Ovis aries: one gene and its partners. The protein of the gene in region 4 interacts with the protein of the main gene of each other region in a pairwise test. Links are inferred from orthologs where the notes say so. Each region holds a gene or a part of one and is shown on either strand. Other genes may lie near its edges.

What was found.
Region 1: the proteins of ADAMTSL4 (region 4) and TOP3B interact in binary tests that used the Homo sapiens proteins (3 or more experiments, as listed by UniProt). The two-hybrid records come from large-scale screens. The link is inferred for Ovis aries from reciprocal best matches to the Homo sapiens genes ADAMTSL4 and TOP3B.
Region 2: the proteins of ADAMTSL4 (region 4) and CPNE7 interact in binary tests that used the Homo sapiens proteins (3 or more experiments, as listed by UniProt). The two-hybrid records come from large-scale screens. The link is inferred for Ovis aries from reciprocal best matches to the Homo sapiens genes ADAMTSL4 and CPNE7.
Region 3: the proteins of ADAMTSL4 (region 4) and MAPKBP1 interact in binary tests that used the Homo sapiens proteins (3 or more experiments, as listed by UniProt). The two-hybrid records come from large-scale screens. The link is inferred for Ovis aries from reciprocal best matches to the Homo sapiens genes ADAMTSL4 and MAPKBP1.
Region 5: the proteins of ADAMTSL4 (region 4) and CREB5 interact in binary tests that used the Homo sapiens proteins (3 or more experiments, as listed by UniProt). The two-hybrid records come from large-scale screens. The link is inferred for Ovis aries from reciprocal best matches to the Homo sapiens genes ADAMTSL4 and CREB5.
Region 6: the proteins of ADAMTSL4 (region 4) and SHFL interact in binary tests that used the Homo sapiens proteins (3 or more experiments, as listed by UniProt). The two-hybrid records come from large-scale screens. The link is inferred for Ovis aries from reciprocal best matches to the Homo sapiens genes ADAMTSL4 and SHFL.
Region 7: the proteins of ADAMTSL4 (region 4) and CFAP206 interact in binary tests that used the Homo sapiens proteins (3 or more experiments, as listed by UniProt). The two-hybrid records come from large-scale screens. The link is inferred for Ovis aries from reciprocal best matches to the Homo sapiens genes ADAMTSL4 and CFAP206.

Annotation. Positions count from the first base shown.
Region 1 is NC_056070.1:71,999,476-72,002,975, reverse strand, and holds part of TOP3B (DNA topoisomerase 3-beta-1), read right to left. Parts: coding exon 3,419-3,500; intron 3,289-3,418; coding exon 3,132-3,288; intron 2,571-3,131; coding exon 2,457-2,570; intron 1,229-2,456; coding exon 1,138-1,228; intron 891-1,137; coding exon 736-890; intron 640-735; coding exon 534-639; intron 165-533; coding exon 18-164; intron 1-17. UniProt on the Homo sapiens protein: Releases the supercoiling and torsional tension of DNA introduced during the DNA replication and transcription by transiently cleaving and rejoining one strand of the DNA duplex.
Region 2 is NC_056067.1:14,056,702-14,060,201, forward strand, and holds part of CPNE7 (copine-7), read left to right. Parts: intron 1-277; coding exon 278-329; intron 330-394; coding exon 395-528; intron 529-3,286; coding exon 3,287-3,500. UniProt on the Homo sapiens protein: Calcium-dependent phospholipid-binding protein that may play a role in calcium-mediated intracellular processes.
Region 3 is NC_056060.1:35,423,443-35,426,942, forward strand, and holds part of MAPKBP1 (mitogen-activated protein kinase-binding protein 1), read left to right. Parts: intron 1-393; coding exon 394-583; intron 584-1,139; coding exon 1,140-1,286; intron 1,287-1,479; coding exon 1,480-1,655; intron 1,656-2,438; coding exon 2,439-2,530; intron 2,531-2,795; coding exon 2,796-2,921; intron 2,922-3,500. UniProt on the Homo sapiens protein: Negative regulator of NOD2 function. It down-regulates NOD2-induced processes such as activation of NF-kappa-B signaling, IL8 secretion and antibacterial response. Involved in JNK signaling pathway.
Region 4 is NC_056054.1:100,567,559-100,571,661, forward strand, and holds the start of ADAMTSL4 (ADAMTS-like protein 4), read left to right. Parts: upstream 1-1,303; 5' UTR 1,304-1,488; intron 1,489-1,632; exon of another isoform or gene 1,633-1,715; intron 1,716-2,205; exon of another isoform or gene 2,206-2,320; intron 2,321-2,894; exon of another isoform or gene 2,895-3,128; intron 3,129-4,021; 5' UTR 4,022-4,103. UniProt on the Homo sapiens protein: Positive regulation of apoptosis. May facilitate FBN1 microfibril biogenesis.
Region 5 is NC_056057.1:69,306,015-69,310,093, reverse strand, and holds the start of CREB5 (cyclic AMP-responsive element-binding protein 5), read left to right. Parts: upstream 1-1,279; 5' UTR 1,280-1,335; intron 1,336-4,079. UniProt on the Homo sapiens protein: Binds to the cAMP response element and activates transcription.
Region 6 is NC_056058.1:12,503,770-12,507,805, reverse strand, and holds the start of SHFL (shiftless antiviral inhibitor of ribosomal frameshifting protein), read right to left. Parts: upstream 2,801-4,036; 5' UTR 2,713-2,800; coding exon 2,692-2,712; intron 2,234-2,691; coding exon 2,110-2,233; intron 1,919-2,109; coding exon 1,869-1,918; intron 499-1,868; coding exon 460-498; intron 318-459; coding exon 168-317; intron 1-167.
Region 7 is NC_056061.1:49,878,284-49,882,215, reverse strand, and holds the start of CFAP206 (cilia- and flagella-associated protein 206), read left to right. Parts: upstream 1-1,132; 5' UTR 1,133-1,493; intron 1,494-3,477; exon of another isoform or gene 3,478-3,479; 5' UTR 3,480-3,480; coding exon 3,481-3,588; intron 3,589-3,932. UniProt on the Homo sapiens protein: Essential for sperm motility and is involved in the regulation of the beating frequency of motile cilia on the epithelial cells of the respiratory tract. Required for the establishment of radial spokes in sperm flagella.

The DNA of each region.
Region 1 (3,500 bases), on a different chromosome or scaffold from region 4:
CCGCCCGCCGCCCCTACCTGGGGAGATGACGGTCTTGCCCGTGCAGGTGAAGCGCTCAGGCCCAATCCGGAAGGAGACACTGCTCTGCAGGTACTTGCAGTCGTGGCTCACGGTGGCAATGAAGTGCCGGGTGATGTACTCATAGAGGCGCCAGGCCTCGCCCCCTGCCACGGGCGCGGCCACTCAGCGCCAGGCTCCAGCTCCAGGCAGCCCCACGCTCCTGCTACGGCACTGGGGCCCCTGCGCCCAGCCCCCGGGACTCCCCACCGCTGAGCCTGTCACCCGGCCCCGCCTGGCCTTCCGCCCCAGGGCCTCCCGAGGCAGCACCTGCCCCCGTCACCACCTCACTCCTGTCCCGGCCCAGCAATGGAGCACAGCTTTCAGACAGCCCCACGCTGCCGTGGGGCCTGACCCTCCAGAGATCGGGTTACCAGCGTGCCTCACCCTGCTCTCTTGTGAAGCTTGATGCACGCGTGCGTGCGTGCTTCTGTGTGTGTGCCAGGGGGTGTGCCAGTCTGGGGGAGCCCCCATACCTAACTCAGCCTCCGTGGCAGACTTCATGGGGGTGATGGGGGGATGGTCACCAGCATCGTGACCTTTCCGTGGGCGGTTGAGACCTTCTGCTAAGAGCCGCTTCACCTGCGGGGGCAGCCGGGACGGAGCGGGGCGTGAGCCAGGCTTGGCCCCCGGCCCTCGCAGGGAGTGCGGCTGCTGCCCTGGCCTGGCGCAGCTCACCGTGTCAGCCCAGTAGGGGTGGTTGGCCTGCTGCCGCAGGGGCCCCTTCAGGTCGAAGCTCTCGGGGTAGTGGGTGGTCTCGGTGCGCGGGTAGCTGATGTAGCCCTGCGTGTACAGCCGCTCGGCAGTCTGCATGGCGTGCTGCGGGCCCATTCCTGCCAGAGATGCGGGCTCAGCGCCGACACCGGGTGCCCCAGGCGAGATGCTCAGGCTCCTGGGAGGCCAGTGCCCTTGTCCGCTGGCCCAAGGCCAAACTCCCCCAGCAGGGCAGGCGCAGATGACCGGCGTGGCTCTCGAGACAGGGCCGGCCCCTTGCCTGGCGGCAACCATGCCTTCCTACAGCCAGGCAGCCTGTGCTTCCAAGTCATGGGGCCCTGAGAGAGGAACAGCGCCCGCACTTACCCAAGGCAGAGCTGGCCACACGCAGCATCTCCACAGTGTTCAGGGCCAGGGGCCGCTGCTTGGCCTTCTCCTTCCTGCTTGTGGCCTCCACCTGGGGGTGGGAGGGGTCAGGGCAGGGCGGACAGGGCGGGCAGGCACGAGAGGAGCCCGGAGGGTCTGACTCTCACTCGTCCTCCGGGCTGCTCTAGCTCCCGTTACAGCGGCCTCACGACGCGAATGAACGTTTGTTCAGGCCCAAGAAAGGAAAACGAAAGGGAATTCTAGAGACTTTTTTTCGGGAGAGAAAACCTGGAGGAAGGGAGGAGTCAGGAGAAGGGGCTGCACGTTGGGAGCCCGCTGGGAGCCAGCATCTCCATCTGCAGAGAAGGCGGGGGTCCTGGGGTGAGGGCCCATCGCAGGGGCAGCTGCTTGCTTCTCATGGTGCCCGCAAGTGTAGCTACACCTTCTGATTCATCAGGAAAAGCGGGAAGTTGGAACTTTTTCTGTAAAATCTCCTAACTTCTAACTGTGGGTCACCAGGAGGAACTTCAGTGAAAAGCTCCCACTCGCGGAAAAGCGAGGTGAGCAACCAGCTCAGCCTCTGGGCTGAACGGCTGTTGAAGAGGTGAGCATCCTGCCTACGGCAGAAGCAGCCCAGGCTTCTCAACTGCCATGCTCACCCCTGCCGACCCCACGTGCACCCGGCCAGGGCCACACCCCGAGCTCTGGACAGACGCAGCAGTGGAGCCTGGGATCACGACGGGGAGGCCCAGATGCGGTGGCCGTCACAGGCAGAAGCGTGGGGCAGCTTTAGAAGCAGCTCCAGTGCCTGAATCAGCTGCACTGGGCAAGAGGGACCCATGAAGGCACGACTGCAGGGCACAAGCTGCCGTGGCCGTGGACCTGCCAGTCCCATGTGGCCCGCCCCCTGGCACGTGGCACCAACCTCTGCCTACCAGCCACGCAGCCACGCCTCCAATTCCTGAGACCCGAGTGGGGAGCGTGGCAGGGGAGCCAGGAGAGCCATCGGCCCGGAGTGGCCGAGCCGGCTGTGGGCCCTGGGCAGGCTCTCGACGGGCACAGGGGCCTCCAGCTGGACGTGCCACCGAGGGCGGACAGTGGGGCGGGAGCCCCCGAGCAAGGGGGTACCCGCAGGGCATGTTCACCAGTCAGGGCAGGCAGCTGTGTGGCGGTCCCAGCCTGGGGGGCGGGGCAGGACCGTGGTGGGGGCGTGTGTGGGAGCAACTAGTCTTCTCTCTAAAAGGTGTCTGTGTTCCAGAGAGACAGAGGGAGCCCTGCACCCTGGTCAGCAGAGGCCCCCGCAGCCCCGAGCAGCGCACCTGGGCCTCCTCCTCGAGCCTGGTCATGTTCAGGAACATCTGTGCGACCTCCCGGTCGAACACGCGGACGCGGTCCCAGTCCAGGAGGAGGGAGCGGTCCTTGTCGACGTCCACCTGCGGGAGGGCCCAGGAGCAGAGGCGGGGTGAGCCACCGCCCGCGAGGAGAGGCCAGGCAGCTGGAGCCTGGCCTGGCTGGAAGGGCTCACGGCCGAGGCTGTTCAGGGGCGCAGCCCAGCCCCTCCCCTAGCACAGGCTGCTCTGGCAGAGGCCTTCTGCTGAGATGAGGGAGGCAGTCTCAGGACAGGAGCCCAGCGCCAAGGCTGAGCTGTCCGCAGGGGCGTTGCAGCGCCCCCACAGGGGACCCCAGCCCTGTGTGGAGTGCAGCGGCCCCGAGTCATACTCGGAGCCTTAGGAGAACCTTCATCTCACTTGGAAAACATGTTCCAAGGCTTTTTAGGAGCTGGAAGGCCAGTGGCCCACGGCCCTCAGTGCAGTCCCTGGACCCGATCGCCCCGGCCGCGGACCTTGGCCTGCGCTGGACGGCCCTCTCCCGCACCCACGGTGGGACGGCGGCCCACACCCGTGCCCTGGGCCTGGGGACGACGACAGTGGAGGTGCTCAGACGCTACACCCAAGCCCAGCAAGCCCCAGTGCGAACGGGAAAAGGCCGCGGACCTTGGCCTGCAGCACCCAGTAGGTCTCCGGTTTGAAGGACTGGATCTTGTCATGCCTTTCCACACAGAACCCCAGCGTGGGGGTCTGGCACGGCCCAAAGGAGATGAGCGAGCTGTCCAGGTTGCCGTATTTCCCTTGGAAGTATTTAGTCTGGAACCTGTGAAGGGGGTCAGGGAGATGAGGACGCTTTGGTCAGGCACCCTCGCGCTTCGGCGAGACAGCTGTCTCAGGGGCCGAGAAGGCGGACAGTCTCCCGTCTCTGGTTGGGCCTGGTGGGGCAGGGGCACCTCGTGAAGGCGCAGCCGATGCGGAGGTCCAGCTCCTGCCGCGCATCCACCGAGAGCGCCTCGTTGTGGTCGGGCTCGCCCA
Region 2 (3,500 bases), on a different chromosome or scaffold from region 4:
GGAGAAGGGGGACATTCGCCTGGAATTTTCCGTTTAGAAAGGGTGTTTGACTGGCTTGAGCAGAAAGTTTGGGGGTTGGGGAATTATTGGCTAATACATCTCAGAAGCTCCGGGTCCCACTGGAGCCAGGGTTGGCCTTCTGCCCTCTGTCCCCAGTGACCCCCTTCCACAAAGGATGTGTCACATGGTGGCCCTGGGGGCTCAAAACCTACCTCTCTCAGTAGTTGGGGTGGGGGATGCTAGGAGGTGGATCCGCTGACCGGTCCCTTCTGCCCAGGTGTCCCATGACTTTGCCATCAATTTCAACCCCGAAGACGATGAGTGCGAAGGTAGGAGCGTGAATGGCCCGTGGTGGGGGTGCGCTGGGGCCGTGCTCACACCCCGCCCCCCACAGGGATCCAGGGTGTGGTGGAGGCCTACCAGAACTGCCTGCCCAGGGTCCAGCTCTACGGCCCCACCAACGTGGCGCCCATCATCTCCAAGGTGGCCCGCACAGCCGCGGCCGAGGAGCGCACCCGTGAGGCCTCTGTAGGTGCCCAGTACCAGGGGGGGTGTGTGAGGAAGGGCTGGCCTCTGGGGAAGAGGGAAGGGTCAGGTCGGGCGGGGCCGGTGGGCGGGGCCGGGAGGCCGAGGGAGGGAAGAGGGGCGGGAAACAGGAATGCCGGGTGTCTGGACCAAGTGAGGCCGGGCGTGGACTCGCCTCGAGGGCCCCAGAGCCAGTGAGTTGAGCGCTGCTCTCTGCCGAGGAGATTCTCGCCCTGGAGGCTGATCTGCTGTCTGTGGTTCTATTATACATGTATTGTTATTTTGTTTGCATGGTCTTTTTTTTTTTGGCTGCACTGTGTTAGCTTGTGGGAATTTAGTTCCCCTACCAGGGATTGAACCCAGGCCCGGGGAAGTGAAAGTGCCCAGTCCTGATTCACTGGACTGCCGGGGAAATCCTTCTTCTTAATTTGCACAAGTGGTGAGACGCTAAAGGCTGCCTCCTGCATTAGGGTTCTGTAGACCTGCCTGAGGCACGCCGATGACTCAGTTGGCTTCTTTTAATCTTTTATTCTGAAAACAAAAAAAAAGAATAGTCAACTTTATGGAAGAATAACCCAACGCCTTTGGCCCATCCTTTCCCTGGACTCACTGGTCAGCAACTTCTGCCCTGTTACCTCCTCCTACTTCTCTTCCTCCCCTGCCCCCATCTACACACTGGTCCTTTCTTCCCTTTGAATCTCTTGAGAGCAGGCTGCTGGCCTCCTGAACCCCACTTCCCCCACCAAGTTCTTGGTGTTGATCTGCTCACAAGATCCTGTACAGTACAGCTCTGCAGTCTCACATCGAAGGCGACCCCCTCCTCTTGTCTCACCCCAGCCTCCATCTGTCCCCATGTGTCCATGTTCCTCACCGTCCCAGGACCTGTCCTTCCCATGTTCTGGTCTCCTGATCTATTTTTTCCCCTTTGTTTTTCTGTGCCCCATGGCATGTGGGATCTTAGTTCCCTGACCAGGGACTGAACCTGCGCACCCTGCAGTGGAAGTCCACTGCACCCCCAGGGAAGTCCCTGTGGTGGGACGAGGCTGTTGCTCTCAGCCTTGCTCCATCCTTGGGACTTGCCATCGCCCAGTCCCTGAGTGGGGGTGGCTCTCCCAGGCACACAGCCCCCAAAGGCAGAGTCACAGTGTCGCCTCCCACCCCTTCTTTCCTCAGATCCAGGCGTTCTCTTCTACAGTCACTGCACAGGTATCAGTTTCAGGTGGTTTAATTTAGATCCAATACTTTATATAATATGCTCCAAGTTCATTAATTGCCAAAAAAACAATAATTTTATCACAATATTATTTCTGGTGTAGAATCCAGCCTGGAGTTAAGGATTACATTCAGCTTTCATGTTCTTGTATTGTTTTAAAGCAAGTTTTAGACACATAATTTCATCTGTAAATATCAGTATAAACCTCTGAAAGAGGTACAGTAGGCTCCCATTATCACACCTAAAGACAACGTCAGTTCCCGAGCATTAAGTGTCCAGCCATCCCGTCCACACCATGGTGGATTTTCCAGGAGGCACAGGGTTAAGATAAGGGGCTGGGCCTGACAGTGTGTGTGGCCATCCTGCTGGGGACCCCTGCCTTCTCCTGTGGGGTCCTCTTGCCACCCCCTTGTTAAAGAGATCAGCATGTGCCTACAGTAGGGCCCCCGGCTGGAGTCTGCTGACCATGCCCTTGTGGTAGCCTTCGTGTCCGTCTGATTCCTCTGGGAGGGGTTAAACTCTGGGGGCCTCAGGTCTGCCTCTGTCCTTGCTGGGGCTCAGACCCTTCGTCTTAGCTGCGCGAGGTGGATGTGGGTGGAGGCTGGGCGGCATCTGGGACCCCCTTCCCTGAGCCTCTTCTTGAATTTTGCCCTCACCTGCCTTCCTGTCCTGCGGAGAAGCCCTGTCCCTTCTGGCTGACGCCTACCGGGGCCCCGACTGCAGTGGTCCCTGGGTTCAGGTGACGCTTCCGTCGCAGGCGGTGATGGTGTGGTGTTTGCACTGCTGGCAGACCCAGGGCTGTGAGGTCTCAGTGGGGTGCTGCCCCTACTCTGGGGGTGGGAGGAGGCTGTGTGGGGCTCAGGGCTGGGCCAGGCACTGTGGGAATCCACCAGCCCTGGACAGGAGACTGCCCATCCCCCTGGTCTGGGGGCTCAGAGGGGGTCCCTGGGAGAGGGTGCCCACTCGGCCAGAGCTGGGCAGGCTAGGGGATAGTCTGGCCGGCCTTCCAGTGCTGGCGCTCCAGGGTGATTTTTGCAGCTCTTCTGTGTTTTCTCTCACCCAGATTTTTAGTAATGATTGCTGAGTGGTTTTGTTTTTTTTCACTGTGGAAATGGACCTTTATTTGAAACAAGCCCCAGTCTGTCATGCGCAGACACACTAGGCACCTGGCCAAGCTGGGCCAGAGTGTGTTGTTTGAAATCTCAGCGTCTCTTCAGGGTGTGGGAGCCCCTCCCCGCCCAGGGCTGATGATCCCTTCTCTGGCCTCAGACCTGGGTCAACCCCGGCTCCCCTAGCCTCACTGTCCCCACCTGTAAGGTGTGGCTGTATCCACCTCCGGTTAGAGGGAGCACATGGTCACAGCTCACTGTGATTCCATGTGTGTGTGTGCACCTGTGTACATGTGGTACGCTTCTGCGAATACGTTTTTAGAAAAGCTTGGCACCGTGGTCACCCCCAGGCGGTCTGGTTGGTGGACTTGGGGTTCGACTGGGGGAGGTACAGCGGCCCTGCAGGGTCCCCACAGCCCCTCCTCCCCTGTGCCCCCAGCAATACTACATTCTGCTGATTCTGACGGACGGTGTGGTGACCGACATGGCAGACACACGTGAGGCCATCGTGCGCGCCTCCCACCTGCCCATGTCCATCATCATTGTCGGGGTGGGCAACGCCGACTTCACCGACATGCAGGTGCTAGACGGCGACGACGGTGTCCTGCGCTCCCCACGCGGCGAGCCCGCCCTCCGCGACATCGTGCAATTTG
Region 3 (3,500 bases), on a different chromosome or scaffold from region 4:
AAAGGAATAGCAGTCAGTCCTGAAAGATGGGAAACGGTGATGATCGGTCTTCTCTGTGGCTGGGACAGTAATCTTGTTTTTATCTGTCTTGGAACCACTGCAGAGGGGCTTGTTTTTGTTTCACTCCATCGTGGCCGCAGTCACCTCGTCTGCTGTTGGTGTTCTGAGCCCTGGTCCGTGCTTGTCAGGAGAGCATGCTGGTCTGGCAGCAGGGGCGGCTCCCAGCTGAGAGCTGTCAGAGCAGCGCTTTCCTCTCAAGCAGCTGCTTCCAAACCTGTGGGTCTGAAGAGGGCTCCCGTGCTCTGCTCCTTCCTCTGTGGCTTGGCTTCTGTTTTCATTCCCTCATTTCCATAGCTCCTCACTCACCGCTTTGCACTGTCTTCTTCCCCACAGTCGCCTCTTCTCTGGAGCGGCCAATGCCAGATATCCAGACACCATCGCCTTGACCTTCGATCCTACTAATCAGTGGCTGTCCTGTGTGTACAATGACCACAGCATTTATGTTTGGGATGTGAGGGACCCCAAGAAAGTGGGCAAGGTGTATTCGGCTCTGTATCATTCCTCCTGCGTCTGGAGTGTGGAGGTAGGTGGCCTGGCTCGGACACATTGTGGGGATGGAGAGTGAGGATCCCCAAGTAGAACACTGTGTTCCTGCTCCCTCCTCCTTTCTTCAGCAGCAGCCCTGTGTATCCACGTACCCCCAGATGGGTCCTGGGGACCGATCCTGAATTTTAGTACTTAAATGTCTCAGGCTTCTTCCAATGGGCCCCTGTCCATCCTTAGCTCTGCCTTGTCCTGGGCTGGATGATCTTGAACAAGTTACTGAACTTACCTGAGTTTTGTTTTCTCAGTGGTAAAATGATGTACCTAATTCATCTAATTGTTTTAAGAATTAAGTGAAAAACTGTGAGTGGAGTATTTCATAGTAAGCATAGCAGAGTACCTTGTCTTTGGTGAATGTGCTTTCCCTCAGCGATCTGAAGAATATCTAATAGTTGCAGTTTGCTTATCATGTGACAGACTCTGGGCTAAGCCTTGGCCAACAACAGCTCCTTAGTCTCGTTCCCTTCTGTCTCCGTGGGCTGGCAGGCAACTGCTGCCTACCTGGAGCTCTGACTTTCTACCCTCTGCCCCTTCAGGTCTACCCCGAAGTGAAGGACAGTAACCAGGCCTGCCTACCCCCCAGTTCCTTTATCACCTGTTCCTCCGACAACACTATCCGCCTGTGGAACACAGAGAGCTCCGGGGTGCATGGCTCCACGCTGCACCGGAACATCCTCAGCAATGTGAGCCTGGGCCCCTCCATGCTGAGCACCTGTGTTCCCTTGCCTTCTCAGGAACTGGGTCCCCAGACTTGATCTCCGAGTTCTTATGTGGCCTTCCCCTGCAAGTCATGGCTTTGTCTTGTCCAGCATTCCTCTCCTCTCCCCTGTACTGATCAGACCTGTCTTACCCACTTCTCCTGACCTGCTCCTCCAGGACCTCATTAAGATCATCTATGTGGATGGGAACACTCAGGCCCTGCTGGACACTGAGCTGCCCGGGGGAGACAAAGCTGATGGGTCCCTGATGGATCCCCGCGTGGGCATTCGTTCTGTGTGTATCAGCCCCAATGGACAGCATCTCGCTTCAGGGGACCGTGTGGGCACACTCAGGTAAAGCCAGCTCTGGCATGGGTACCACCTGCCTCTGGTGGTGTGGGTTGGGGGGAGTTAGGTCCCCAAGGACAGAGCTTTTGAAAATCTTGGCTCAAAAAGATTGGGAAAAAGATATTCATATACAAGGGAAAGATAATTATAGTAAAAAAAACCAGCAGAAACCATTCTAATCAAGTAATCAGGCTTACATTCTCATATCAACATCATAAACCCCATAATACAATGCTCTACAAAAGGACATCGCAGTTTTTCTGTGGTATTCTTGCCAAAATTGCAGAAACTCGGTCCCATCATGAGAAAACATCAGACTAACTCAAATTGAGGTACATGTGACCGAGCACCTGCACTAATCAGTACTCTTCCCAAGTGTCAGGATTACGAAAGGGAAGCAAAGACGGAAGAATTGTTACAGACAGGACACGCAGGAGAAATAATAACTCAGTGCAGTTGGACTCTGGATAGGATCCTAGATCCAGAAAAGAGGACATTGTGGGAAAACTGGTGGAATTCAAGTAGAGCCTTTAGGCCCTGGTATTGTACTGATGTAAGCTTCCTTGTTCTGGTAAGTGGACTGTTGTTACGTAAGACGATTACATTAGGGAAAGCTGAGTAAGGGGAATATGGAAGCTCTCTGTACTTATTTCAACTTTTCTCTAACCTGAAAGTTCAAAAATAAATTTTAAAAAAGGTCAGGAGAGAGGATGTAACAGAGAAAGCAGAGTGAGTCTGTCTTCCTGCAGCCCGGCAGTGACCTCCTCCCGCCTCTCCTTATCTCTTCAGGGTGCACGAACTGCAGTCCCTGAATGAGATGCTGAAGGTGGAGGCCCATGACTCGGAAATCCTGTGCCTGGAGTACTCTAAGCCGGACACAGGTGAAGAGGATGTCTGGTACCCATGCCAGAGGCTTAGGGCTCCTCTAGTCCCGCTAGTGCCGCTTACATCAATCCTGGTTGTTGGATGTGGGACTGAAAATCCTTTGAATCATTTGGTGTCTTTGCAGATTTAGAGGAGGGCAGCTCTGCCTCTTCTCCATGGTTGCCTTGGCTTAGGGATATGGGGCTCAGTTCTTGTTAGCTGGGCCCAGATAGGGGCCTGCTCTAGGCACACATGGGCTGATGAAGTTTTTCCAACCCACAGGTCTGAAGCTCCTAGCATCAGCAAGCCGGGACCGGCTGATCCACGTGTTGGATGCTGGACGGGAGTACAGCCTACAGCAGACACTGGACGAGCATTCATCCTCCATCACTGCTGTGAAGTTTGCAGGTAGTGGCAGGGCAATTGGGATACATTCTGCCACCTACGACTGACACCCCCTGCCCCCTGTGTTCTGCCTCCATGAGAAGGGTGTGCCAGTCGCGGGGAGTGTAGGACTCCCTGCCAGCTGGCTGGCTTGGGACTAGATGGGAAAACAGATGAAATATGGACTCTTAGTATGGGGGATACTTATCAACCAGGCTTGATGAGGATGGGGAGAAAGGAGGGCCTGGATTTGAAGAGAAGCATCCTGATTTAGATCTTCTCTGGGACTCAAACGGTAAAGAATCTGCTTGCAATGCAGGGACCCAGGTTTCATCCCTGGGTCAGGAAGATCCCCTGGAGAAGGGAATGGCAACCTACTCCAGTATTCTTGCCTAAAGAATCCTATGGACAGAGGCGCCTGGTGGGCTACAGTCCACGGAGTCAAAAAGAGTCAGACAGGACTGAAGGAATAACACTTTCACTTTTCACTTCATCCTGATTTAATGGGTGGTCCCAGCCGTGTTGAGTAGCTCACAGAGGGAAAGTGTTGAGGGAGGCAGAGGGCAGACTGGACCCGTCGTGGTGAGAGCAGTGGGAACAGCT
Region 4 (4,103 bases):
AAAAAAAAAGTCAGAAAGCAGGCCTGGGCACCTGGGACTCATCTGTTTGTTCTGTTTCATTCCAAATATTTCTATTAACTCTACAAATACAAAAACCAAAACAGAAATACAAAAGATGAAAAAACAGAGATGACACAAAGTGGCCTAAATGGTCCTTGTCTTGAGAAAACTTAGGGGTTTATTGAAATAATAATAAATCATAATAAAATTATAATTTTATAATATAAATTATATAACTTATAAATTATAATAAAATATAGATATTGAACTTCAAATAAGGATATAATACTTATACTTAAAAGCATTTTATGTTTTCACTTCCCTCATCTCTTGAGACAACATTTGCTTCTGTTGAGTCCAGTACTTACCTCCCAAGTCTGTCTCCAACTAGACCCAACTCCTTAAGGCCAGAGGCTGTTCTAACTGTGCCCTCCACACCAAGTGCAGAAAGTGCTCAATAAGTATTAGGTGGGAACACCTGATACCCTGCTACTGAATATCCTGGTTTTAAAATATTGACAAGTCACTGGAAAAAAATAAATAAATAAAACCTTTCAAATGCTTGAGAGTAGACCCAACAGTACATGACTGTAGTTCATGAAAAAATGGCAAATAAAACTTTTAAAATAGTGGTGACAAGAAAAATAATGACTTTATCTACTCTGTCATTTTACGTGTATTATTTATTTCTTTACCATAAAAAACAGATAATGCCTGTGGTTAAACATTCAAAAACATATAAGCATACAGAGTAAAAAAGTGAAAGCTTATATTTTTATTTTCCTCTCCCAACCCCTCCCCAGCTGCTGCCCCCAGTTCCGAGTTTGGGATGTATTCTTCCTGATCTAAGTAACTAGGCAGACATATCTCCAAGCCTATTCGTGTATGTCAGGTTAACCCCATTTTACAGATGAGGAAACTGCAGCACAGAAAGGTTGAAGCATTCATCCAAGATCACAGAGGGAGATTCAAATCCAGATCCTCTGATTCCTAAATCAGCGCATTCCTTGCGCTACGCCCCGTAGGTAACATTTATGGATGAAGAAACCGAGGCTTAGAGGGTCCCTGAGCAGTCAGAACCACATGGTTCACAGTCCAATTTAGGAGAAGCAGGGATAACTGGGCTTGCACGGGAGGCTGCGTGATGGAGAGGGCCCTGACCAACGTGGAATCGAGGTCAGGCTTGACCATCTCCCAGCCCAGCAACGCCCCAATGTGGGGCGCGGGGCTCGCCCACGCCGCTCGGGTACCGGCGCCACCAACCCCTTGGCGCCCCTCGCGGCCGCTCCGCCCGGGCTGGCGCAGCGCTCGCACCGCCCACTCAGAGCCGGTCGGGAGACCGCGGTCCCGGAGACCCGAGCCCCAGCCGGGTCGAGGGACAGCCCTGGCGCGATGGCTCCCTCGGAACCCGGCTGGGACCTCCTCGGCCTCGCCCCCTGGAGCGGTCGGCAGGTGCCGGGCGGGAGCGGCCAAGGCCCGCAGCCCAGGGTGGGTGGCCCTGGCGGGCTGGGGATTCGGGGGCCGCCGGGGGGCTGCCGCCGGGCGCGTGGCGGGCGGGCTGGCGGGGCGGGGCGGGGCGGGGCGGGGGCGGAGCCGCGGCCGGAGGCGGCCGTAGCCCGGCCCAGGGGCCGCAGTGGCTGCCGCGGAGCGAGGCTGCCTGGAGGGAGCGCCCGGGCGCAGAGGGGTTAGCTGGCCGCCGGGGCCGCGCAGAGCAGGTACAGATCTTCCCTGGGACCCCTGGCCCCGGTCGCCCTCTCTCCCCCGTCTGGTTAGACCATCCGCCCCACGCCGCCGCGCCGTCCGGGTTCTCCGAGCCCCGCGGTCGCGCCCCAGCCACGACCCCGGCCCCAGTTCTTATAGCCTCGGAAGATCTTCCAGTCCCTGGGGTCCAATTCCTGGGGAGGGGGCTCTGATCTCTTGGAACGCTGGCCCCATCACTCGGACGAAGAATCAGCCAAAATTCCTACACAGAATAAAACTGGAAAACACACCCAGGAGCTCCCGGCACGCGCCGGGCACCTCCTGCCCTTCCCCTCTGGAACGGTATTTCTGGATGATGCGTTCCTCCCCCATCCCCCCAACCCTGTCATCCGCTTCCGTCCTGGGTTGGGGGGCACAGACGCTGGGAGGGTTACAAGTGGGTGCCCCGAATCCAGCTCAGCCTGACGACTAGAAAGGCAGGACACCTGTTGGGTGGGCCTCCAGGACCCAGGAGTGGCACAAGGAGGACCAAGGAGTTCTCGCCCAAGACAAGGACTCTGCAGCCAGCCCTGGAGCCCTGGACCCACCCCCTGCCCCTCAGTGCCACTGTTCCCCAGAGGTAGGTCTCTTGGGGTTAGTGAAGCGGTTAGTTCTGCCCAGGTCACTCCTCCTTGATCTCCACTGGCCAGTGTGGAGTTGTGGCAGGGAGGAGCCCAGGTTTGTCTAGACCAGTGTCAGCCGGGCCCAAGAATGGCCAGTTCTGTCTGACCTCTCCTTTCTTCACTCTGGACAGTGAGGCTCACCAGATGAGAAACGGAAAACATGAAAAGACTGAAAACCACAAATGTGTATCTGTTTCTGCAGCGTTTGTGTGTGCCTGTGTGTGCATGTGTCGGCCCCCTGCCCAGCTATGCGGGGGGTGGGGTAGGACTTTTCCAGAGAGGGAGCCAGGCCTGGCCCTGGCCCCAGGAGCTCACGTCACCCCACCCCCCACCCCTCACTTCTCCAGGGAGCTGCCAAAGCCAAACCCAGCTCAGGACAGGATTATGTGTACTGGGTAGACCCATAGAGAGAGACAGCTAGACACAGGCCTGGGGTAGCAGAGAGAAGCAGAGGCAGAGGAAGTGGAGAGGGGACCCAGCAGCAAGAAGTGGCAGTGACCAGCCTCCCATCTCCTTCTCTTCAACCACCAGGAAGGGAGTCAGGCTGAAAGCTGAAGGTTTGGGTGGAATGTTGGCCCTTCTCTGGAGCCCCTACCCGCCTCCTCATCAGGGCGGAGTTGCTGACCTCAGTGGTCAGCCCAGCCAAGGGAAGGAGCAGCCATCAGCAACCCCCTTCACAACCCCAAGTAGCTGAGGAGACCGTTCGGGCACAGGCCCCGCCACTGTGATCCTTCTCAACATCCCAAGCGCTGGGGTCTCAGGGAGGTGAGGGGGAATGGATTTGCTACCTCCAAGCACATTCCTGCCCTTCCCTCTGTCATTTTCCTGCCCCTGAGCTGGCCCACCTCAGCATTAGCTCCTTGGATTCCTCTCCCGGGTGCCTTTCAGATCCAACAGAAACATTTTTTTTTTTTTCCTGGAAAGCAGAGCTCAGAGCAGCATGAAGAGTGGGGGTGGGAAGGGTTCATTGTGAAGGGACTGGAGGGCCAGGGGGAGCCATGGGAGAGCCAGGCTTAGACCAGGGGAGGGTTCCAAGCTCCACTTCTCCAGTGATCAAGCTGAGACTGCAGGATGGACTTCCTGGCTCTTCAGAAGATAGACCCATGAGTGACTGGGGACCAATAGCCTCTCTAGCTGTATCTCCCCTCCCCAGCTTCCCCCAGCCATCAGAGTCTTGCCTGAAGGAAGGCCTCATTGATCCAATGCCAGAGGCTGGCCCCTAGAGGGAAGTTAAATATCACTGGGGAAAATCACCTGCTTCTCTAGAGATAAACCATCAGCCCATTTAGTTTATCCCTTGGCTGCAAAGTTTGAGATAGGCACAGTTGTGTCAAGTGTTCCAGAAGGAGCTTATTAGGTAAGAAGGCAAGAAAAGGCTGAGAAGCAGGTGGGAATGGAAAGCCCAGGGGGCTTCCAGTCAGCAGCTCAGAGAGGATGTCTGAAAAGTCCTCACTGAACCTCCCTCCTCAACCCTCTTAAGAAAGATGCATGTGTCTGAGCTGGCCTAGAGACAGTCGCTGTTTAGGACACAGGAGCTGAGAAGTTCCTGAAGCTGAAGGAGGGGACTGCGCCTGAGCTGGGAGGCTGAGGGCAGACCTCCACCCCTTCAGCTTGGGTAGATGGACAAAGGCAGTGCTCCTTTTCCCTCTCACCTTTAGGATCATTAAGGGATGGACCAATCTTCACCCCTCCATTCTCACTCTGAGTTGTCCTTCTGAGAAGTCATCCCTCCCAATCCCC
Region 5 (4,079 bases), on a different chromosome or scaffold from region 4:
GAAAACAGGATTTGGGGTGGTGCCAGTGCCACCACTTACTCAAGCAGCTTCAGGCCAGCTCCCTAACCTTGTGGATTTTGCCTTGGCTCACCTGTAAAATGGGGATAATGATAACGCTTGCCCTCCTTGTGCTGGTTGTGAGAATCAAGGGAGTTCCACGTGGGTGTGAAGGCTTTGTACACTGTGAGCTGCGGCAGGGATGACAGTGGTGGTCTGGGGTGGCTAGGATCCACTGGAAATTACTCTATGCCTTCTCTATGAGTCTGGCTCACTGAAAGAACATCTGAATGGAAGTCAAGCCGAGGATAGTGATGGGGAGGGTGTCTTGGCTGATCCTGAAAGCTCCAGGCTCCTTCTCTCCCGGAGCTGTGGGGAAGGTACTGCAGACCAGGGGCTCTTTCCCTCCCTTTGGCTCCTGCTCTGCCACTTGTCAGCCGGGGAGCTTGGGCAAGTTACAGACGAGGCTCTGGAATGATCGCCAACGGCCCTTCCGGCTCTGACGCTGAGTCTAAATCAGGCTCATCACTTGGCTCTAGCCGTGATACACCTTTCCCTTCCAGGAGTAACTCTTTTTCCAGCTCTTAGACTCGAGAAGCAGGGGTCTTGGAAAGGGTGGGGGCAGTGTATTCCACATGAGTTTGCACAATAAAGAAGTTATTTCCTTGGAAGTGAGCTGGAGAGGGGCGGGGGCGGGAGGTGAAAAGGGGTGTCCAGTGAGTGCTCTGAAAAGCCAGGATGCAGGGAACACTGTAATGAGGTCATGACTGTCGCAGCAAAACGGAGCTGGACATCTGCTGGTGGGGGAAGGGGGAGCGTCCCGCATTTCTGTTCGGAGACAGTCTCTTCCCTGCGCTCTTCGGCACCCCTCTCCACCTCGCCCCATCCCCACACCTTTTTAAATGCTACCAGGCCCTACTCACGGGAGGGCCCGTGTCCCTGCCTCCTCCGTGGTCCTTTCTGAAACCTTGAGGATTGTTTCCAAGCTGACTCACACCACTAAAGTCAGGGAGCCGTGTCACACGGCGCTGGGCTCTGCAAGCTGTTGCTTGCGCGGTCGCCGCTGCCGCCGCCGCTTCCCCGCGGGTGCACCAGGGTCCGCTCGTGGCGCGGGAGCGGGGCGGGGCTGGGGCGGAGCCCGCCCCCTCGGCGCGACGGCCCCGCCCCTCCCTTCCTCCCTCCCCCACGGACCGCAATGATTTAGAAGTTCAGGAATCCCACGTGACGTCACCGGGGGGGTGATGTAATGCACTCTAAATAGAATGTATTGTAATCTTTGCTCAGTCCAACGTGGTCCCTTCACCCGGGCTCTGCTCTTGCCTTCTCCACACTTGTTTGGTAAGTTCCTAAAAATACGGCTAGGCCACTTCTGGGGCTTTTGCATTTAGTCACTTTTGTTGCACTTGCCGCGGGAGCCGTCTCGGGAGTGTAGTTGTTTGCAGGGGTTGGTTCTCGGCAGCAGCCGCGAGGTTACTTGGTCCAGTGGGCAGGTCGCAGGGCAAGGAGTAGGGAAGATGCGATGCATTTTCTTTTTGGAGGATGATCTGTGTTTGTAAACACTTTGACGGACCAGAGGGAAGTCAGGCCCCAAATACTGGTGGATTGTGGAATCAGCCGTGTCCTGAGGCTACCCCAGAGACCCCACGCCGTGTCCGTCCCGGAGCGCGTCTTGGTGGCCGCCGCGCCGTGCGACTGGAGGGATGCTAACGTGGAGCGAGCGCCGTGTCCGCCCCAGCGTGCGTGCGTGTGTAGGAGCGCGCGTGTGTTTCCCTGACACGGGGAACAGTTATGAATCGGGGGTGTGTGTTTGCCTCCAGAGACCTGGCAAGGTGCGGAACCCTCCAGAAGTGCGGTCAAGCGGCGGCAGAGGCGGCAGCAGCGGAGACGGCGAGACAGGAACCTCCCCCCCGCGTCCCCAACTTCCCTGTGATGCGGCGGAACCCCCGGAGAAAGTTTGCAAACTTCCAGCGGGCGCGGCGAGGACGCCGGGTCACCTAGGGGGCGGACGGGCGGGCGCACTGGGGGCTAGCTCCCTCCCGGGCCCCAAGCCTGCTGCTGCCACCTTTTGCAGGGCTGCCCACCGCAGGTGGTGGGCGCGCGCGCCAGGGAATGAGGGGGCCATCACCCTCGGAGGGCACTTGCCTTTCACTGCAGGCGTGGAAGGCTCGACAGTGGCGAGGCTCTCCTCGTCTTCACTCCTGCAGCCGCCTCTTGCCTCTGTCCGGTTCTCGTTGGCATCGTTACCTCTTCCCCGCCGCTGCCCCAAATGACAGCTCCCGCCTTCGACGCGGCTGCAGTTCTCAGAGCACGGCGGCGGAGCCTTCCTCTCCACCAGATTCTCCACGGAATAACTCAAAACTTTTCACGACGTTCTTAGAGGGGCAAGACTCACGAAGGAACCAAGGAGATGTTTTCTCCCGGCGGCTGCATCCCGCTTTTCCTTTGCCACAGATTTATTTCTGGGGTGGGGGTTGAGTATCTGGTAGATAAAGATCTTGTCCACCCTAACTTTCCCTGAACAAGTGCCGCCCCCACTTGAGACTTGTTCAAGGCCTGGAACTGAAGTGGGCTACTTGTATATTTCGTTGTCAGAGTCTACAGAGTGTTTGATTTTTATTTTTCCCTCCTTCTCTGACATGTGTCAAGGAATAAAGGCTGGATACAGGTCCATTACGTCATTCTGCAGACCAATAAGTGTTTGATTAACAGCTTCAGATACTCAAGGGTTGGGGGCCTTAGAAGTGCTGACAAGGCAAGGCTTTCCATCCCCAACCCCCAACATACTCGTACAATCTCTGATTCCCTGGGCATCGTTATTGCCCTCTCCTCCCGGATCCCTCCTTCTCCACCCGCTCTACCGCCCACACCGTTATCACTCTGGCCCCGCCTCCGCCTTTGACTGCTTTCCCTGGGGCGATCACAGTCCCTGGAGTGTGGGTGAGAGCTTCTGGTGGCTGAGGGAGCGCAGTACCTGATCGACGCACACACAATCTGCCCTTTTCTATTATTTAAGAAAGGCACCAGTGAACCCTCTTCTCCAGGGCAAACTGCTCAACTCTGATAGAAAAGGCGTCTCAGGAAATGTTTAGAGACACTATGATAGTACCGTGTCCCTGTGGTGACTTAGGAAAACAACACACTCACTGTTAAGCAAAGTACTTAATTTTACACAGCGCCTTCCTCAGACAGACCGGTTTTCCGAAGAGGGATGGCTGAGGGTGCTGACTAAATCAAATTTGGCTGGAAGGCTCGAGATTAAACGTTTCATTTCCAAAGTGAGGGAATGTAAGTCGTTGAACTCAAAATATCGTACAATAGAGTGGTGCATGGGTTACTTTTTTTCTCTTAACATTAACTTTCTGTATTTAAATAGAAAGTTAAATACGTACGTCATTGAATTGAGTCAGAATCCCCGTTTCTGGCAGTTGAATAAAAATACTGTATATGACATGTTTAAGGGATAAAAGTAAAAAGAACTCCGGGTGGGGTGGGGGTGGGGCTGCAGTGTAGCAGAAATTAAATAAAAGATTTCTTAACAGGCTTTTGAATAGAGGGGGTGCAGAAGAGCTGAGTGCTCTCTGGTTTGAAGCTGGTGAAAGCTAAATACAGGAAAATTTATATTCTGAGTATGTGGGAATTTCTTGAAGAACACATGTTTTGTTATAATCAGATCTACTTTCTTCAGAGTGAAAGCCATGCTGTAGAGTAGGCATTTGTGAAACTCATGTCTGGAGTCTAATTGACATCATTCCCCAAGTTTGTGGCAGTATTTATTATTTATTCACATCTAGAGATGAAATAGTATGACCCCACACACAATACATGTGCATCTGAAATGTTAAAACTTCTTGTTTGTGATGCATACATAGACCTAAAGGGGAAAATGGCCCGGGTCACCAGCACTGGAGAGTGTGATTAATGATCAGTGATTTAGTGATCAGTGATTAGTGGTTTTATTCAAACTGTTACCTCTGACCAGAAGCACACATCAGAGGATTAACAGGCTCTTTAGATAAATGCTCATTAGTGGAAGGGGAAAAGCACAGATAATAGGCATGCACCCAGGGACAACTTTCGAAGAA
Region 6 (4,036 bases), on a different chromosome or scaffold from region 4:
GCTCAGTAGGTCAGCGTTGGGGCTGAGATTGGGGTTGATCTCTGAGGCTGCAGGTGTCCGGGGTTGGGGTCTCAGAGGCTGATGTTCTTAGGTCAGTTGGTTTGGACACAGAATGGGGGTTGGGAGCAGAGCCGGGACAGAACCAAGGTCAGGGATTGGGTTATCACCTCTTTCCGCTGGGGCACGCGGCGCCACCAGACATGGTCACAGGAGGAGCAGGCGAACTGCCGGTCCACGGCAGGGATGAGGTCTTCCTGGGCACGCTGGAACATGCGTAGATTGTCTTCTGTCAGTGGCAGGAGGGATGTCGCCACCGCCTGCAGAATGGGGTGGGCGGGGCCAAGAGGGCGGTCAGTCCTCTTCTCTTCCAAACCCCTATCCTGTCCCTCCTTCTCACGTATGGATACCCCCAGGGGTGTGCACACCGCTCCACCTCCCCATCCCACACCCTGGACTCACCTGGATGTCCTGGTCCTGCTTCATGTCCTCTGGGGGGTCCTGGGTGGAAACATCAGGGGTAGAAACTGGGGAGGTGGCTCATGCCTCTTTTCTGGGGGCAGGGCTTCTGGATGGGGAGGCAGGGTTCTGGCCCCATATGAGTAAGGTGTCCCCAACTCAAGAGGAGTTAATTGAGCAGTTTCCACTTCCTGAGGGCAAGGGTGTGTGACCTCAGTTGTCCTCATAGCAACCCTGAGAGGTGGGCACACCTGTGATCCTCATTGCTCAGATGGGGAAACTGAGGCCCAGAGCTCTGAGAGGGCTTGCCTGAGATTACCCTGAGTGAGTGTGGGCAACAGGCCTGGGCCCCATGCTCCCTTCATGCTGGCAAATGCCACACACTTGCTGGCATTGTGACAGGTCACCTGTTTGAGGCTATGCTGCTTTAGGCTAAGTGCTTGAGCTCTGGATTCAGAGAGCCACAGGTTGGAATCCTGGCCTCATCACTTCCAGCTGTGGGGTCGTGGCCAAGCCACTCTCCCTAATGAAGGACATCTAGGAGTCCAGGTTCTGACTCTAGGTGACCTGGGTTCAAATCCCAGTCACCACCTGCATTCAGCATGAGCCTGGTGAGTGACTTCATCACCCTGTGTCTCAGTTTCCTCATCTGTCAAGTGGATATGATAAATAATAGGACTTGTCTCACAGGACCTGTGGCAATAAGTCAACAGAATTCCTGGAGTCCTGTTGCAGGGAAAGTGCTCAATCAATGATACTCTTTGCTAGTTTTATTATACTCATTATATGTATAACTGTAAATATATAAATGTTACAAGTATAAAACATACTTTATTATACTCTTTAACAGCTCTGTGCTGGGCCCTTTCAGACAGGCAAACCAGTGCACCAGCTACCAAGGCCATCTAAGGGGCAAAGTGGCCATACAAAGGCTCTCATTCATTCATTGCTTTAGTCATTCATTTACATGGGCTTCCCTGCCCCTCTTTCCTCCCCTATCTCTTACTCGTCCCAACCTGTCTGCAAGTTCCTCTGCTCAGGTCACCCTCTCTTCCAGGAAGATCTCCAACCCCTCCCCTTCCCAGGGATCACTCCTCCCTAGGCTTGAAGAATGTGGTACCACCTCCTCCAGGAAGCCTTCCCTGACCTCTTTGGCTCCTCTGTAATGATGATAATCCGGATTCTTTTCACTGCCTAGTTTCTTGTCTCTCTCCATTTCATACAATCAGCATGTAATGAGCACCTATGGTTTGCAGGCTCCTTGGTCAGATCCATAACTGAGAGGTAAGTGAATGAGGCTAGACCATGAGTTGTGGATGGACAGTGCACAGAAAGAGCTCTGCCAGGGATGAGCCTGACCCTTCCCTTCTTCCTTCCCTTACCACGTGTTTTGAGGGGAGGGGGCAGTTTACCTGGGTGTCCAGATCATTACTCAGTTCCTGTCCATCCTTCTGCTTTACCCCTGGTGGGGAGAGTAAGTGTAAGTGAAGGCCCCTTGAAAGGTTTTGTGGGAATTTCAGGGCCCCCAGAACCCCGATCCAGACCGCCCCCCAAAGAGATGATCTCATCGCCTCTTCCAGCCCCCAGCACAGACCACACCCCCTCCCTGCTCCCCAGCTTAACTCTCACCAGGCAGGACCCCCACCTGCTCACCATACACGATGGAGCGCCCCACTCCAGTGTGGTCGCTGCCAAATTTCCTCATCAGAGTCCCTGCCTTCTTGGAGGATACCTTTCCATGAAACTTCTCCCGGAGGCGCCGGACGCTTTTCTCCAGCTGGGGTAGGGGACCGGTGGGGGAAGGAAAAGCGCAATTGCCCTTCCTCCATCCCTAGGCTTCCTTTTTTCACGGCCCGAACTTGACCCCGGGTTTTGGCCTTCGCACCCCCCCCCCCCATCCCTCTACTGCATTTCCTGGAAAAAGCCAAAGTCCCCACAGAGTACTGGGGGAGGGAGCGGACTAGGGCGAGCGTCCCAGGCTAAGGGATGAGGCCGGCCAGATGACCCCTGGCCTCTGACCCTTGACCCAGCAGCCCCCGCTTTCCCTCGAGGAGGCCGCATTTTGCTCCGGGGCATGTGGCGGTCACTCTCCTTTCCGAGGGAGACGAGTGCCAGCCTTGGGGGGAAGGTCTGGGCTTGGATGGAGTCCCCAGCAACTGCGAAGCCCGCTCCGTGCCCCTAGCTCCTCCTCAGCATCTCTCGCGGGCCACCGGCCCAGTTGTAGCCATCTCCTACCTCCACACCTTCTTGAGACATGGTGGCGGCGTAGGTCCCCGCGAGGGTCCGCACTGCGCGCTCGGCGGCCCCCTACCTGGGCGCGCCCGTCGGTCCGGCCGCGCAGGGCAGGGGGCGGGGCCTCCAGGCCGGCTCCGCCCTTCCTTTCCTGCGCTCCGTTTCGCTTTCGTTTGGGAACGGGGGGGTGGACGGGGAGGGCTGGCTCCGCCCTGGCTCCGCCTCTGCTCTTGCGCCCCAAACCCAGGCGGGCGCCCCGGATCTGCACCCTGCGGCGGAGCGCGCAGAACTCGGGCGGGGGAAGCGGCGCGGCCTCTGCAGTCGGTCACATGTCCCCACGCTGCGCGGGGTCCGCGTCTTCACGTCCCTCGTGGGGGCGGGGCCGCATCTGAAGGCCGCGGCGAGTCTCCGTGCCCCCGCCTGTTCGCGCTCCCCTGTTCATCGCTCGGTCCCCTCCCTCCACCCGGAATCAGGCGCTAATGAGGATCTAGACCCCTGTCTCGCTCTGAGTGTCTTATCCGGCTATGTCTTCTCTCTGAACCTCAGTTTACTTCGCTGTAAAGTGGGGATGATGATAGTGGCTACATCCTGGGGACGGGTGTGTGTGCTCGCGCGCGCTCATGCCTGTGCGCGCGCGCGCGCAGGTGCAGGATTCGAGATCCCCAGGTCGAGTATTTAGTAGCGCCTGCCATGCTGTAGACATTCAACTAGTCACTGGGCCACCTACTATGTGCAAGATATTAAGAAGCAGGCAGTTGTGGTGGGGAGAAGATGCTCGTTAAAAATACGGATTCCTGGTTCCTCACAGTCTTGCAGAATCGGTCTGTCTAGGGGTTCCAGGGAATTTGCGCTGAAAAACGGAAGATTGAGAACCCCGAGGGATCAGGACGATTTTAACCCAGCATGGGGGGTGGGGGGTGGGCGAGGGGGCTGGAAGAGCCCTGCCTGGCGGCATCAGAAATGGTTTCTTTAAAAAAAGAAAAAAATGGCTTCTTGGAGGAGTCCGGAAGACCGAGGTCTCAGCAGTCAGAAGATCGGAGTGCGGGATGGAACAGCTTTGGGTGCAAAGACCCCAGAAAAAAGTGACTAGCGCTTTAAGCCAGGGCTTCTCAACCTCAACGCTATTGGCATTTAGGGCTGGGTGATTCTGGAGGCCTGCCCTGTGCATTGTAGGATATTTAGCAGCATCCCTGGCTTCAATCCGCTAGATGCCTGTGGCACTCTTGCCCCAGTCGTGGTAACTGAAAATGTCTCCAGACGTTGCCAAATGTTCCCTGGGGGTGGCAAAATTGTGTTAGGATAAATGACACCCCTCAAATTGTTTAACCTCCATCAGTAAAGATGTGGA
Region 7 (3,932 bases), on a different chromosome or scaffold from region 4:
CAGTCCATAGGGTCATACAGAGTCAGACACAGCTGAAGCAACTTAGCATGCATGCACACTAATGAACTTAAGAAGCTTGCTGTTTTTGTGTCAGGAAACTCAAATTTTGCTTTTTTTCTGGCTCTTCATATCTGTGCCCATGTAACTAACTCTAAAGAGGAATCTCTCTAAGGAAGATGATTAAGAAATGATCTTGTGAATCTTGACTGAAAGGATGTGGGAAAGCAGACTAAAAATAGTTAATGCTTTTTCTAAGGGAACCTTCAGTAAGAATGACTTGCATTGTCTTCCTTGGGCAATGGTTTCTTTTTCATCATTACTCTGAAAATTCAGCTACCCACTCCATCATCAAGCATTTCTGTGGAGAAGGAAGGTTAAACTGGAAAAGTAAATTGTCAGCTAATTCTTAGACTATGGCTTCCTCCATTTCAAAACTGGTAAACCATACATATTACATAGACTAACATGATGGTTTGTGTTTAAAAAAAAAAAAAGCCAACTGTTGCATAGTGCATGGATAATAATAGAGAACATGAGTGAGATAGGTGAAAAGCACGAGATCTGAATTTTTATTTTAACTTTGAGGATTTCTGGAAACCAGGATGCAGCTCTATTTTAATGATCTATATAGCCCAAAAGCATAACCCAAAGTGGAGAATTCTCCATTATTGTGCCTTTTCTTTTTTTATTATGAGATATATACAGAAAAGGTTAATGTAACATATGCACCATTGAATAGTTATAAAGTGAACATCCATATAAATACTATTCAGATGCATTAGAGATTCTTAATCATGAGTCTACTGATACTTGCAGAGAATTTGCCCATATCTCCTTTTTTCTTTTTTTTTTAACACTGCATAAGTTTCCACGCTGCTAAGTTAATACGGTTGTTTAAGAAATCTAGTTTTTTACATCCTTTAGCTCACTGAGGTGTAGTGAACCTGTCTTCTCTCTGGGCTTTGGGTCTCTCTATATCTCGTCTTTTTTTTTTTTTTTTTTTTAAGTTATCCTCGCCCATCCCTTCCAGTAAAGGCTCTTTTGGACCCAGCCACGCCTCCCCACCTTGGCTCTACCCACGCCCAGGTCCCGCCCCTTTCGGGCCCTAGAGTTTGGTCTCCATGGTTACGCCGAGAGTTCTGGGCTGCCGTGAAAGCCCCAGGGAAGAATTGGGTAGACCCGGCTCAGGCTCTTCACTACAGCCAAGGTCAGCCCAGCCTGGGCTCCACGCCCTTGATCCGGAGTGTACCTCGCGAGGAGGCGAGCATGGGTCAGCGGACGGAGCCTGGGCCGCGGGAGCATGTCGTCTAAACTGGTTCAGGCGAAACTGACAGTAAGGACTCTTCAGGCCCCGCCGCTGAGCGTAAAGAGCTGTCGCTTCCGGTCGGAGGCTCACAGGTCCCCAGGTCAGATCGCTAACGCGTGCTGCTCACCGCTGTTCGGCACTGCTCGCTGCCCCGCCGGCCAGAACTCGGGAGGTTTAGGCTGAAGCGGTGGGTGTGGGGAGGGTCGGGGGGCGGGGACTGAGGAGAACCCGGAGAGACCTGTACCGGGTGCCCGACGGCGCACGCGCACACGCGCGGCTTATATTCATTGAGCAGGCGTTTGTTAGTTACCAGCTGCTGGTTTGATGCTCTTACTTTCTGCCAACGCTATGTTAACCACTAAGTATATAGACTGGGAAAGGAGTACGTCAAGGCTGTATATTGTCACCCTGCTTATTTAACGTATATGCGGAGTACATCTTGCGAAATGCCCGTCTGGATAAAGCACAAGCTGGAATCAGGATTGCTGGGAGAAATATCAATAACCACAGATACACAAATGACACCACCCTAATGGCGGAAAGTGAAGAGGAACTAAAGAGCCTCTTGATGAAAGTGAGAGAGGAGAGTGAAAAAGTTAGTTTAAAACTCAACATTCAGAAAACTAAGATCTTGGCATCTGGTCCCCTCACTTCATGGCAGATAGATGGGGAAACAATGGAAACAGTGACAGGCTTTATATTCTTGGGCTCCAAAATCACTGCAGATGGTGACTGTAGCCATGAAATTAAAAGATGCTTGCTCCTTGGGAGAAAAGCAATGACCAATCTAGACAGCATATTGAAAAGCAGAGACATTACTTTGCCAGCAAAGGTCTGTCTAGTCAAAGCTATGGTTTTTCCAGTAGTCATGTATGGATGTGAGAGTTGGACTATAAAGAAAGCTAAGCGCCGATGAATTGATGCTTTTGAAATGTGGTGTTGGCGAAGGTTCTTGAGAGTTCCTTGGACTGAAAGGAAATCAAACCAGTCAATCCTAAGGGAAATCAACCCTGAATATCCATTGGAAGGACTGATGTTGAAGCTGAAACTCCAATACTTTGGCCACCTGATGAAAAGACCCTGATGCTGGGAAAGATTAAACGCGGGAGGAAAAGGGGAGGACAGAGGATGAGATGGTTGGATGGCATCACCGACTCAATGGGCATGAGTTTGAGTAAACTCCAGGAGTTAGTGATGGACAGGGAGGCCTGGCGTGCTGCAGTCCATGGGGCCGCAAAGAATCGGACACAACTGAGTGACTGAACTGAACTGAATTGATATAGAACTCAGTCCTCAGGACAGCTCCAGAGACAGAGTAGTAGTCGGGTTTATACTTTTCAGATGAGAAAATCACTTCAAAGAGAAGTTAGAGAAATGGCCAAGGTTTCAGCTAGAAAACGGGGCACGATGGAAACCAGGCTCTCTGGTTCTCCTGGACTAGATGCCAGGTGTTGTTAACCTTACCTGAACCCTAATATGCTGAAAGTGATCTTTACCTACCTGGGATTGCCTTTGTTATTCTCTGCATGCTAATTTCCCCTGTGCTTAGATCGGAAAACCTGATCACTATTAAAACCTACCACCTTTTCACCAGGAGTTCTTTTTTTTCCCCCATGATCCATGACTCGTTATATGTTTTGCTTTTTTTTTTGCTTTTATGCTTTTAATCAAGAGTATAAACCTTCACTTGGATGTGCAAGAAATAGAATTTTGATGATTCGAGCAAGAATTGTGTTCCAAGAGTCTCTGATAATTATGAAAGGTCATTTAGTGAATGTGATGAAATAAGCATGTTCTGTTTCAAGCTGACTTTGCCACCTACATAGTGGAATTTCTCACTAATTCTACTCCTACACCCATCCTCCATCTCTAATACTGTTTAACATTTTTTTAAATTAAAAAATATCATGTTATAGGGGTACTTTTGATGACCACCATCATTTAAATAAAGAGGAAATGTTTCAGTCATTAAGTCCCAATTACTCTCACTGTTATCATTAGTCCTTCATTTTTATAAATATGAAACCAACTAATGAAAAACAAGAGGGGCCTTATATACTAGTAAATATTATTAAGTTAATAAATAATATGACTCTTTACAAATATATTAGTGGTGAAATCTCAAAAGGAAAAACTAATATATAAATACAATTTAAAAAATCTTTTTATTTAGAATGCCTCCCACTCAGGCTGAAAGTGTTATAAAGAATATCATTAGAGAAATAGGACAAGAATGTGCAGCCCATGGAGAGATTGTTCCTGAAACTCTGGTTGCTTTTATGGTAAGAATAAATATTTTTGTGAATTACTGCTTTATTAAAAATTTTTTTTCAGCAGTGCCTATCTTGCTCTTAGAATTCTGTGATGTTCTCTTAACTTGTTGCATTGAAAACCTATGGCGATTGGTAGACAAATTGTGTCTGTGTGTGCTCAGTCGTGTCCAGCTCTTTGCAACTGCATGGACTGTAGCCTGCGAAGCTCCTCTGTCCATGGGATTTTTCCAGGCAAAAATACTGTTTGTTTGTTTTTTAAGTCTATAAAGCATGTTAGTTCTAGATTTAAGAGACTGATCTAGAAGATCTCAAAGAATCTTAGAAACATCAATAATGTTTTTCCTGTGTTGTAA